2 linked regions of the Saccharomyces cerevisiae S288C genome follow. Changing the gene in region 1 together with any one later gene gives a genetic interaction. Each region holds a gene or a part of one and is shown on either strand. Other genes may lie near its edges.

The links. A genetic interaction does not mean that the proteins touch.
Region 2: mutations in CAB2 (region 1) and RIM11 together harm fitness more than expected from each alone (negative genetic interaction), as found in Saccharomyces cerevisiae (2 studies listed by BioGRID).

What each region holds. Positions count from the first base shown.
Region 1 is NC_001141.2:201,809-207,514, reverse strand, and holds CAB2 (phosphopantothenate--cysteine ligase CAB2), read left to right. Parts: upstream 1-2,861; coding exon 2,862-3,959; downstream 3,960-5,706. Other genes in the region: SDS3 (Sds3p), read left to right, coding at 4,256-5,239; KTR7 (putative mannosyltransferase), read left to right, coding at 5,472-5,706. UniProt on the Saccharomyces cerevisiae protein: Catalyzes the first step in the biosynthesis of coenzyme A from vitamin B5, where cysteine is conjugated to 4'-phosphopantothenate to form 4-phosphopantothenoylcysteine.
Region 2 is NC_001145.3:542,696-548,524, reverse strand, and holds RIM11 (serine/threonine protein kinase RIM11), read right to left. Parts: upstream 2,401-5,829; coding exon 1,288-2,400; downstream 1-1,287. Other genes in the region: SIP5 (Sip5p), read right to left, coding at 1-811; Arf family GTPase CIN4, read right to left, coding at 2,795-3,370; DNA cross-link repair protein PSO2, read left to right, coding at 3,562-5,547; GAT2 (Gat2p), read right to left, coding at 5,644-5,829. UniProt on the Saccharomyces cerevisiae protein: Serine/threonine protein kinase that is thought to function in regulating kinetochore activity and entry into meiosis. Could phosphorylate IME1.

The DNA.
Region 1 (5,706 bases):
GCTGTAGTCGAGGTAGTCTTGCGCCAGGTTTAATTTCAATATCATGTTTTACGGGGATGTTGTTAATGTCGGCAGGTCTTGGTGGGAGATCATTACGTATGATCTCTCTATACTTCTGTTGTAACCAAACTGGCAAAGTGCAAAAGGTGTCCTTATTGCTGTGATCAGTAGCATTAGGTTCTACACTCTGAATGGTTGAGACAACGTTGGAGTATTTTCCATCCTCTTCTAGGATGCTCGCTTCTTCAGGTATCGGGAATTGCGCAAATGTACTTTGAGTACTACCTGGGTTATCAAGGGTCGTAAGCGGGTCAATTGCTGCAGGAGTAGTGGTTGCAAGAGACAGGGTTTTGGTTCTGGAGTCACCACGATTACCAGCGGATTTCGGGTCAGTTGCTTCGAGAATGGTGGGGGCAAGAGACAGTTTTGTGTTTCTGGGGTTACCACGATTACCAGCGGATTTCGGGTCAGTTGCTTCGAGAATGGTGGGGGCAAAAGACAGTTTTATGTTTCTGGGGTTACCACGATTACCAGCGGAGTAGGTTCTAACGTTATTAACGGTTTCGGAGCGATAAGTCTTGGGCTTTAAGGAGTCGGGGCTCTCTCTGGTATTCAGTACTGTGTGCAGGATTTTCGGGTAGCGGCGTAAGATTGGATTTCCAATTAACAATTGGTAGTCCATGTTATCCAGTATGTACGCGGCTAAAGTTATCTGCAGGTCATTGATTTTGAGGTCAATGGTGACTGCTTCGGATGTAACGGCGGATTTGGTGGCTACGAATCCTCTAAAACGGAGTGGAGGGGTCTCGTAGATTTCGTATTTGAGAAGTTCTACAATATCTCTTCGGATAAATGACGTGGGTGATCCACTGTCAAACAGGGTTTTTACTTTCGTGTTTTGTATTTTTATGGTTTTTTCGGCGGTATTGTCCATCTCGGGGATGGCGATATAGTGTACAATTGGTAAGGTTTTGATAAAAAGAGTTTGTTGGTCTTTTGATTCGAGTTCAAGATCGGTTAGAACTCGCCTTACGTGCTCTACATTCGTTCAGGCGATGTCCCTCTTTCTTACAATAGAAGCATAGCCGATTTTTTATACATTCTTCTCTGGATGCGTTGTTATTTCTCCTGTTTCGATGATTTGACATTGGTTTATTGTAAGATCTTCTTGTCCTTACGGTGTGGACGTATCTATTCTGGGTCAGATTATCTTCTGAATCATAGTCAGAGTCGTATTCTTCTTGTAAGTGGGTTGTGGCACCGATGATAGTGTCTCCATCAGCATCAAGTTCGAATCCTGGGAAGAATCTTTCAGTTAGTGCGGTTGTCTGGTAAGCCTCTTCCATGGCGTCTTTTAATGTCTCTGGTTTGTGCATTCTGACAATATTATAGGTTTCCTTTGTCAATAGCCTAGTATATGTCATTATGGCAGCTTTTTCGGTCATGAAGTCTGGTGGCATTCTGTCCCAAATCTTTCTGAATCGTTGGTTGAGACGCTCAATACCAAGTTTAGCTTCGGAAAGTTGCGTGATTGCATTAAAGATTTTATTGATATCTGGTGGCTTATAGAAATGTTGATATAATCCTTGTATGAATGTGTCGAATGTTATTTCAAGTATACCTTGTTCTTGTACAAAATCATTAGCCCACTGAGCAGCGGGGTTTAATAAATGTCTTCTGCAGTACACAATACGACTGGCATCATTCGGCCAAGATATCATAGACATGTTTAGCATTATTTCGGAGATAAAGTTTTTCAGTTTATGCGAGTCATTTCTACCTCTGAAGGTCAAAGATGGTTGGATCGGGAAGTTAGGAAGGCATTCTACTGGGAGTTTTGGATAATTTCCTCCTCCTGGGATTTGATCCATAAAGCTCATACTGGGGTGTGGTGTAGCTAGGTTCGGCTTTTCGATGGTTCGTTTGAACAATTAGTAACCTTTAACGCTACCAGGTGTTGTATTACGGGCTCGAGTAATACCGGAGTGTCTTGACAATCCTAATATAAACAGTCTTAGGGAAGTAACCAGTTGTCAAAACAGTTTATCAGATTAATTCACGGAATGTTACTTATCTTATATATTATATAAAATATGAATCATACTAAGTGGTGGAAGCGCGGAATCTCGGATCTAAACTAATTGTTCAGGCATTTATACTTTGGGTAGTTCAGCTAGGGAAGGTCGGGTTTTGTCTCATGTTGTTCGTTTTGTTATAAGGTTGTTTCATATGTGTTTTATGAACGTTCAGGGTGACGTATTGTCATACTGACATATCTCATTTTGAGATACAACATGTTCCATGATATGGAAAAACGTATACCAGTGCTACAAACCCTGTTAACAATTAAATTCTTATTACTTCTTGCACAAAGATGCTAACACTTTACAGCTTTGAAAGTAACAGGAAGAAGTGATGCTGTGACAATTAACAGGGTATTTTTTTTTTCACTTCTACTTAAATCGGAGTTACAATTTATGATAAAAAAATCAAGAAAAAAACCTGATTATGCTAAGAAAGTAGAGGCGACGATGACCACCTATGGCCTAACCTAACTATGAACAGATGGTAGGCTCTAAATTGCGTGCCTGAAATCTGCGGATTTGATATGTAGGCGATGTTTTGGGTATTTTCCACCAACTTTATTGGCAAGGGAAGAATTCGATGACCCGAATTCGCCAAACGACAAAAACTGGAGGAGTGACCTATTGTTAACGTTTTTTTTTTTTTTTTAAAGGCATTGTCATCAACAGGACATCTGTATAAGAGGCTAAGACAATTACGCACACAACGCTTTTATTAGTTGTCATAAACTGTGTAGATTAGCAGCAGACACTCCTTTTTTTCTTCATACTATAGCAATGCCACCTCTACCCGTGCTCAACAGACCTCAAATTCATACGTCTGTTACTGAAATAAGTCATGCAATTGATCGTACAATCAAGGAAGAGCTCTTTCCCGTTGCCTACACTACTGAAGAAGAGCAATATTTCAAAACTAACCCTAAACCTGCCTATATCGATGAATTGATTAAGGACGCTAAAGAGTTTATTGATTTGCAGTATTCCCTGAAAAGGAACAAAATAGTTCTTATCACCTCTGGTGGTACTACTGTTCCATTGGAAAACAATACAGTACGTTTTATCGATAATTTTTCTGCAGGTACTCGTGGTGCATCGAGTGCTGAACAGTTCTTAGCGAACGGATATAGTGTTATTTTCTTACATAGGGAATTCTCATTAACTCCGTATAATAGGTCCTTCTCCCATAGCATTAATACTTTATTCTTGGACTACATTGATTCTGAAGGTAAAATCAAACCTGAATTTGCTGAGAATGTTTTGAAGAACAAAAAGCTTTATGACAAGTATATGGAGAAAGAGGAGAAACTACTTTTACTACCATTCACCACGGTCAACCAATACTTATGGTCACTGAAAAGTATAGCCAAGCTATTGAATAATAGTGGTTGCTTGTTTTATTTAGCTGCTGCTGTCAGTGATTTTTTTGTTCCATATTCAAGACTACCTCAGCACAAGATTCAATCAGGAGACAACGGTAAGATGGGAGCAAATAATGACACTGAAGGTACAACTAGGACTACGCCTGATGGTAAACTGATTGTGAATCTTGACCCTGTCCCTAAGTTTTTGAGAAGATTAGTGGAATCATGGGCCACTCAAGCGATGATCGTTTCGTTCAAATTAGAAACTGATGAATCCATGCTGCTTTACAAATGTACACAAGCCCTGGATAGATACAACCATCAACTGGTTATCGGAAACCTTTTACAGACAAGAAACAAACAGGTCATTTTCGTATCCCCTGAAAACAGAAAGGGAGATTGGGTACGTTTGGATGAAAAACACCATAGCATTGAAGAGATGATAATCCCAGAAGTCATCGCACGCCATGACAAATGGGTGGCGCATTCGAAAACTAAGCTAGCTACGAAATAAAACATAGCTCTTGTCTGTAATCAAAAAAATTTGCGTCAAAAAAAAAAATTAGATGTATGTAAACCTTTTTATTGAACTGAAAATTTATCTTTTATCAAATCTTTTTCTTCTATGCCTTAATTATGTTTTCAGGTATCTTTTTTCTCATTATTTAATTTAGCTTATGTATTGATCATTTCGCTTGAGATTTCAGGAAGAAAAAACGCAAACAATTTTTCAGCTAAAATGAACCCTTGGAAAAGCTTTAAGAGAACAAGAGAAACTGTAGAGCTCAGTGTGCATTGTCTTCAAGATTGATGGCTATTCAAAAGGTTAGTAACAAGGACTTGTCCCGCAAGGACAAAAGAAGATTTAATATCGAATCTAAAGTTAATAAGATTTATCAAAATTTTTACTCAGAAAGAGATAATCAATATAAAGATAGACTGACAGCATTGCAAACGGATTTAACTTCTCTGCATCAAGGTGATAATGGCCAATATGCCCGCCAAGTACGAGATTTGGAGGAAGAAAGAGATCTAGAGTTAGTCAGGTTGCGCCTGTTTGAAGAGTACCGTGTTTCTCGTTCCGGTATCGAATTTCAAGAAGATATTGAAAAGGCTAAGGCTGAACACGAGAAACTCATTAAATTATGCAAAGAAAGACTGTATTCGTCTATAGAGCAAAAAATAAAGAAATTACAGGAGGAGAGGTTACTAATGGATGTGGCCAATGTGCACTCCTATGCCATGAATTATAGCAGACCGCAATACCAGAAGAACACGAGAAGTCACACAGTAAGTGGTTGGGATTCTTCGTCCAACGAATATGGAAGAGATACAGCAAACGAAAGTGCTACTGACACGGGAGCTGGAAACGATAGAAGAACGCTAAGGAGAAGGAATGCTTCTAAAGACACGAGAGGTAACAACAACAATCAAGATGAATCTGATTTTCAAACTGGTAATGGTTCTGGAAGTAATGGCCATGGTTCTAGACAAGGGTCGCAATTCCCCCATTTCAACAACCTAACCTACAAGTCAGGCATGAACTCTGACTCAGATTTTCTACAAGGTATAAATGAAGGTACTGATCTATATGCATTTTTGTTTGGCGAAAAGAACCCCAAAGACAATGCTAATGGGAATGAAAAGAAAAAAAACCGTGGTGCTCAACGATATTCCACCAAAACAGCTCCACCTTTACAGTCTTTGAAACCAGATGAGGTCACAGAGGATATTTCCTTGATCAGAGAATTAACAGGTCAGCCTCCGGCTCCTTTCAGACTAAGGTCTGACTAATTTATTTTATGCTGCAAACCTTCCACTTTAACTTTGTATTATATTACATTAGATGGTTATATTTCAATGTGAGCTCTTTTTGTTTTTGCTTTCTTTTCTCGGATACAAGTGGAAAACGAAAAAAAAAAATTGGCTAAAATTTACTGTATACATCAGGCTAACAATCTGTGATTATAGGCACAGTTGTACCAAAGAAGGGCTAGAATATACATCATAATTAGATGCAATTAGCATGGCTATAAGATTGAATCCAAAAGTCAGAAGGTTCTTGCTGGATAAGTGTCGACAAAAACGATATGGTTTCCTCTTTTTAGGATGTATCTTCGCCATACTTTACTGTATGGGGACCTGGCCATTTTTCGCAAAAGATATTGTACATGATCCAAATAATTTGCCTTATTCCTTACAGGATTATTCGACTGACAAAGACGAGCCATTTTTCCGGGGCTGCACTGATACAAAGCTGT
Region 2 (5,829 bases), on another chromosome or scaffold:
ATTCCGACCCATTTTTGTAAAGAGTATACTTCAAATCGTCACTTGGTAAATGGTAATTTTTCCTTGGCTGGCTACTGGTATTATCTTCAACATTGCTGGACTTGCTGCCAATTCTTTTCATTTCCAATTTCCTCTCCAAAAACGTCTCATTTTCATTTTCTTGCCATAAAATTCTTTTCTTATACAATCTTGCTCTAAAAATCTTTGCGTGCATTCTTCTCTGTTCCTTCTTGGATAAAGATTTGTCTATTAATTCATTAAATGTTGACTTCCTTAAATTGCCTATCGGTACGTCTTCGAATTCTTCCAAATTTTCATCGAACGTGTCATGCAAGGGCAATCCGTCAACAATTTTTATCAACTCATCTCTAGTCCAACTTTCATCAAAATCCTGCAAAGGAGTGTAAAACGGCGCTAACTTTCTTTTGATTATTAAATTTTTAACGACAGTAGCATCATAGTCCAACTTTTCAAAAGAATAACAGCCAAATGGGGCCAAAAACCCCCCATCTACAGTTTCGCTACACCTCACAACCAATTGTTTAGCATGTGCCTCTTTAGCAAGCTCTTTTTCCCGTGACGTCTTTCTTCTACTAGTGCTGGATAGATGAGAACCAGTTTTTGTACGAGCATTATTCCCATTTAAAATATTATTGACCAAAGACGTCGTGCGTCTCGTTCTCACCCTTGAAGAGGCTTCTTCATCATATTGTTTGATGACAGAATTCGATGATGTAGTATTATATGAGGAATCTGGCCTGACATCATTAAAACTATCTTCCTGGTCTATTTTCCCTGGAACATTACCCATGGTTTGTTTGCTACTCTGGGTTCGGTTTATACTAGCTAGATTATTTGGTTCTAAGGTGCTTCTTCGTTTACTAAAACACCCACTACATCAGCTCGATGATGAACCTTCACTTGCCCCTTTATACTCTAAAAACCTTGTCGACCCATTTAAGGAAGTTGTTACCCGGTTAAAGTAAAGGTGTCATTAAAATAGTTTCGTACTGGCAAAGAATACGGCTTTTATACATAATTCGAAGTGAAATGGCATAAAAAAGTTACAATTTATTTTGGCTTTACCTTATTTTTTTCATAATTTGTATTCATTATAACAGTAATGATAACATAATACTGTTACTACTAATAATGATAAGAATATGATGGTAATACAAAAACAATACTCATAATAATAACAGTAATAATAGTACTAAAAAAAGACATACGTATATATGTTCCTTCCTTCTCCCATTATTCTTGCCTGGGCTCCCTCCGGTGCTATCATTACTTAGACTTCGGATATAGCTTTTTTTTTACAGATGATAGTTCATCGGGAGATAGATGGCCCAATTCGACATTTTCATCGAACTCTAGCAATTTTAAATCAGTTGTTATTTGATTTATTTTACCGTCATCAAGTTTTAGTTCATCAAAATATGGACTACACAGGCATTGTAGAGCATTAAATCTTTCTAGTGGATCATATTTCAAAACGTCAGCTAGAAATTCCACAGTTTGATCATCTTCTTTCTTGAAAACACGTGACAATGGTATTGGTTTAATTTGCGGGAACTTATGCTCCATATAATTGGGATTCATAGAGCAAATTTCTTGCTTTGATGGAGTACCTAAGATTTTAATGATTTCCACTAGTTGATCAATACCACTTTCTCCAGGGAACATTGGTTGGCCCAATAGCAGTTCCGCCATTACGCAGCCAGAGGACCATATGTCGATTTGGTTGGTATAATTTGTTGCGCCGAAGATTAGCTCTGGTGCTCTATAGTACCGTGAACAAATATAGGAAACGTTAGGTTCAGTAGGTTTCAATTGCTTTGCACTGCCGAAATCGCACAGTTTTAAGGACCAGGTCTCAGGATCTACTAATAAATTTTGAGGCTTAATGTCTCTATGACAGACGTTCGCGAAATGATGGAGGTAATTCAATGACTTGAACAATTGAAACATGTAGTACTTTATTTCCAATCTTGACATCGGCGTACGTTGATGGACGAAATGACGTAACCTCTGGTACAAAGATTGTGGCATGTATTCTAGTATCAAATTTAAATAAATCTCATCTTGGGAGTCCCTTTCATAGAAAAAGTACTTCAGATCTATTATATTTATGTGACTCAGCATTTTCATTATTTCCAGCTCTCTGTTCTTGAATCGTTTATCTTGCAGGACTTTCTTAATAGCAACTTTTTCATTAGTTTCTTGAATAACAGTGGCAAATACCACACCAAACGAACCATGCCCAACTACTTCGGTGGTAGGGAAAGATATCTGCACCGGATCATTCGGGTCTATCGTAGGTGGAGGATGGGCGTAGTAAACCTGTTTTGACACTATGTTATTACTGAGATTCGGAGAATTATTGCTTTGAATATTCATCCTGCGCGAGTTCTAGCGTTGCGTGATTAGTGTTGCCGTGTTGTAATGTAATGCTATGTCAAGATCTTGCCCAGTAATGTGTGAATCAGACGTCGGTGGTTGGCTATTCTGGAAAAAAAGGTGTTAAAATGCAATGCGCCAGAAAGAAAAGGAAATAAGACAATGGCAACGACCGATTGGAAATAATCTGCTGGTCTTCCTACCACTCCTTCTTGTGTAAGATCTTCAATGGACCCGTGCTTTGTAACCCGCAAGCCTTACAGAACCCCTTGGTAGTATTATTATCCGGAGTGAGCAGAAGCCACGAATGCGCACAGTCGGCGGGTAATGAACTATCACGCTATAAATACTGACATTATTTAAAGTTTTTATATGGTGCTCACATCTTAGACGATTATTGGGTAAAATGGCAGGATTCCACCAGACGGTCACGCAGGTTATCAATACCTTCTCCGGTAACGCCACTACATTTGACGAGCTCTATTCGGATGTCCGGCTTGAACAGACACTTCAACTCGCTCTCTACCAGTAAACACCTTCGATGAAGCTCGGACTTGTCCTCCACTAAATCAATCTTGTTCAACACAACGATAACAGCACACTCGTATCCTATTCGATTTTCGTCTCTATTGATTAATTCTTTTAGTTCTTGCAAGGTTTCGTCAAACCGCATTGAAAGGCTCACATCTATACACCATATCATCGCTTGTGTCTTATCAAAATAGTTATCCCAAAATGGCCTTAATGTGCGTTGCCCCCCAATGTCCCATAGAGATATTGTCACATCTTTTATCATCAGACTATGTATTTGAAAACCCACAGTAGGCATTATACCATCGTTATTTTGCTCATCCTTGGGCAATAGTTTGTTTACTATCGTTGACTTCCCCGAATTGTCTAGTCCTAGAATCAGACAGCGAATTTCTTTGTCCCTGAGCTTCTGTTTCCTGATAATACTTAGTAGTCCCATGTATTCTTCTACACCTTAAGCTTCCCTCTTATTATCTTTATAAATTAGTGCGATGGCTTTTTAGATTTTGTCATGGAAACGGACTGAAAAAGTACTAGTAAAATAGCAATATAAACATAATCAAATACCTGCGTCAAAACTCATGTTAAGCAGCATACGCACTAGTGACTAATTTGGGTGGTCGGTTGATTATGTCAAGGAAATCTATAGTGCAAATAAGAAGATCTGAAGTAAAGCGGAAACGAAGTAGCACCGCTAGCAGTACAAGTGAGGGGAAAACTCTTCATAAGAACACACATACATCCTCTAAAAGGCAGAGAACTTTGACAGAATTCAACATCCCAACTTCATCGAACTTACCTGTCCGTTCCAGTTCATATTCATTCTCAAGGTTCAGTTGTTCAACATCCAATAAGAATACAGAGCCAGTAATTATTAACGATGACGATCACAATAGCATTTGCCTTGAAGACACTGCAAAGGTCGAAATCACCATAGACACAGACGAGGAAGAACTAGTTAGCTTGCATGATAACGAAGTCAGCGCAATAGAAAATAGGACCGAAGATCGAATAGTAACGGAATTGGAGGAGCAAGTAAATGTTAAAGTCTCTACAGAAGTTATTCAATGTCCTATTTGTCTAGAAAACCTTTCTCATTTAGAATTGTACGAAAGAGAGACACACTGTGATACTTGCATAGGCAGTGACCCGAGCAATATGGGAACACCTAAAAAGAATATCAGGAGCTTTATTTCTAATCCATCATCTCCTGCAAAAACGAAGAGGGATATAGCTACGTCAAAAAAACCAACAAGAGTAAAACTTGTTTTACCAAGTTTCAAGATAATTAAGTTCAATAATGGCCACGAAATAGTTGTGGATGGTTTCAATTATAAGGCCAGCGAGACTATCTCTCAGTACTTTCTTTCTCATTTTCATTCTGATCACTATATTGGACTCAAAAAATCTTGGAACAATCCTGATGAGAATCCGATCAAGAAAACACTTTACTGTTCTAAGATCACTGCAATATTAGTAAATTTAAAATTCAAAATTCCAATGGATGAAATCCAAATTTTACCCATGAATAAACGCTTTTGGATAACAGATACCATTTCAGTAGTTACGTTGGACGCTAACCATTGTCCCGGTGCAATAATAATGCTTTTCCAGGAGTTTCTGGCAAATTCGTATGATAAGCCTATAAGACAAATTCTTCACACGGGGGATTTTCGAAGCAACGCCAAAATGATTGAGACAATTCAGAAGTGGTTGGCCGAGACAGCGAATGAAACTATTGACCAAGTTTATTTAGATACAACATATATGACTATGGGATACAACTTTCCTTCACAACATTCTGTGTGCGAGACTGTGGCTGATTTTACATTACGGCTTATAAAACATGGTAAAAACAAAACATTTGGAGATTCACAAAGGAACCTTTTTCACTTTCAGAGAAAGAAAACATTGACAACTCATCGTTACAGGGTCCTATTTCTTGTGGGAACATATACTATTGGAAAAGAGAAGCTAGCCATCAAGATATGTGAATTTTTGAAAACAAAATTATTTGTTATGCCGAATTCCGTTAAATTTTCAATGATGCTAACAGTTTTACAAAACAACGAAAATCAAAATGACATGTGGGACGAAAGCTTACTCACCAGCAATTTACATGAATCATCCGTACATTTGGTACCTATAAGAGTGTTGAAAAGTCAAGAAACCATAGAAGCTTACTTGAAAAGTTTAAAAGAATTGGAAACAGACTATGTGAAAGACATTGAAGATGTTGTCGGGTTTATACCTACCGGGTGGAGTCACAATTTTGGTTTAAAATATCAAAAGAAAAACGATGATGATGAGAATGAAATGAGTGGCAATACAGAATATTGCTTAGAACTAATGAAGAATGATCGAGATAATGATGATGAGAATGGGTTTGAAATCTCGAGTATATTGAGGCAATACAAAAAGTACAACAAATTTCAAGTTTTTAACGTACCATATTCTGAACACAGTAGTTTTAACGATTTAGTGAAATTTGGTTGTAAATTGAAGTGTTCTGAAGTCATTCCCACTGTGAATCTAAACAATTTATGGAAAGTGAGGTATATGACGAATTGGTTTCAATGTTGGGAAAACGTTAGGAAAACGCGGGCGGCTAAATAAAACAAAAAAGGAAAACAAAAAAAAGAAAAGGGGGTAAAAATGTGTTATGTAAGATGTACGTACGTAATGGATATTATATGAATGTATGATTTTATATTATTGCAATATCGTATTATACTCAGAGTCCAACGTTTGATCATTATCCATATCATGAATAAACCTGTTTGGAATAGTGATAAAATCAGGAATTCTACGATCGTTGGCTAAATCAATAGATCTTCTATATCTTAACAACAAATTACTGCTTTTTGAGCCAAATTTCTTGGTGACTTTCCTATAAAA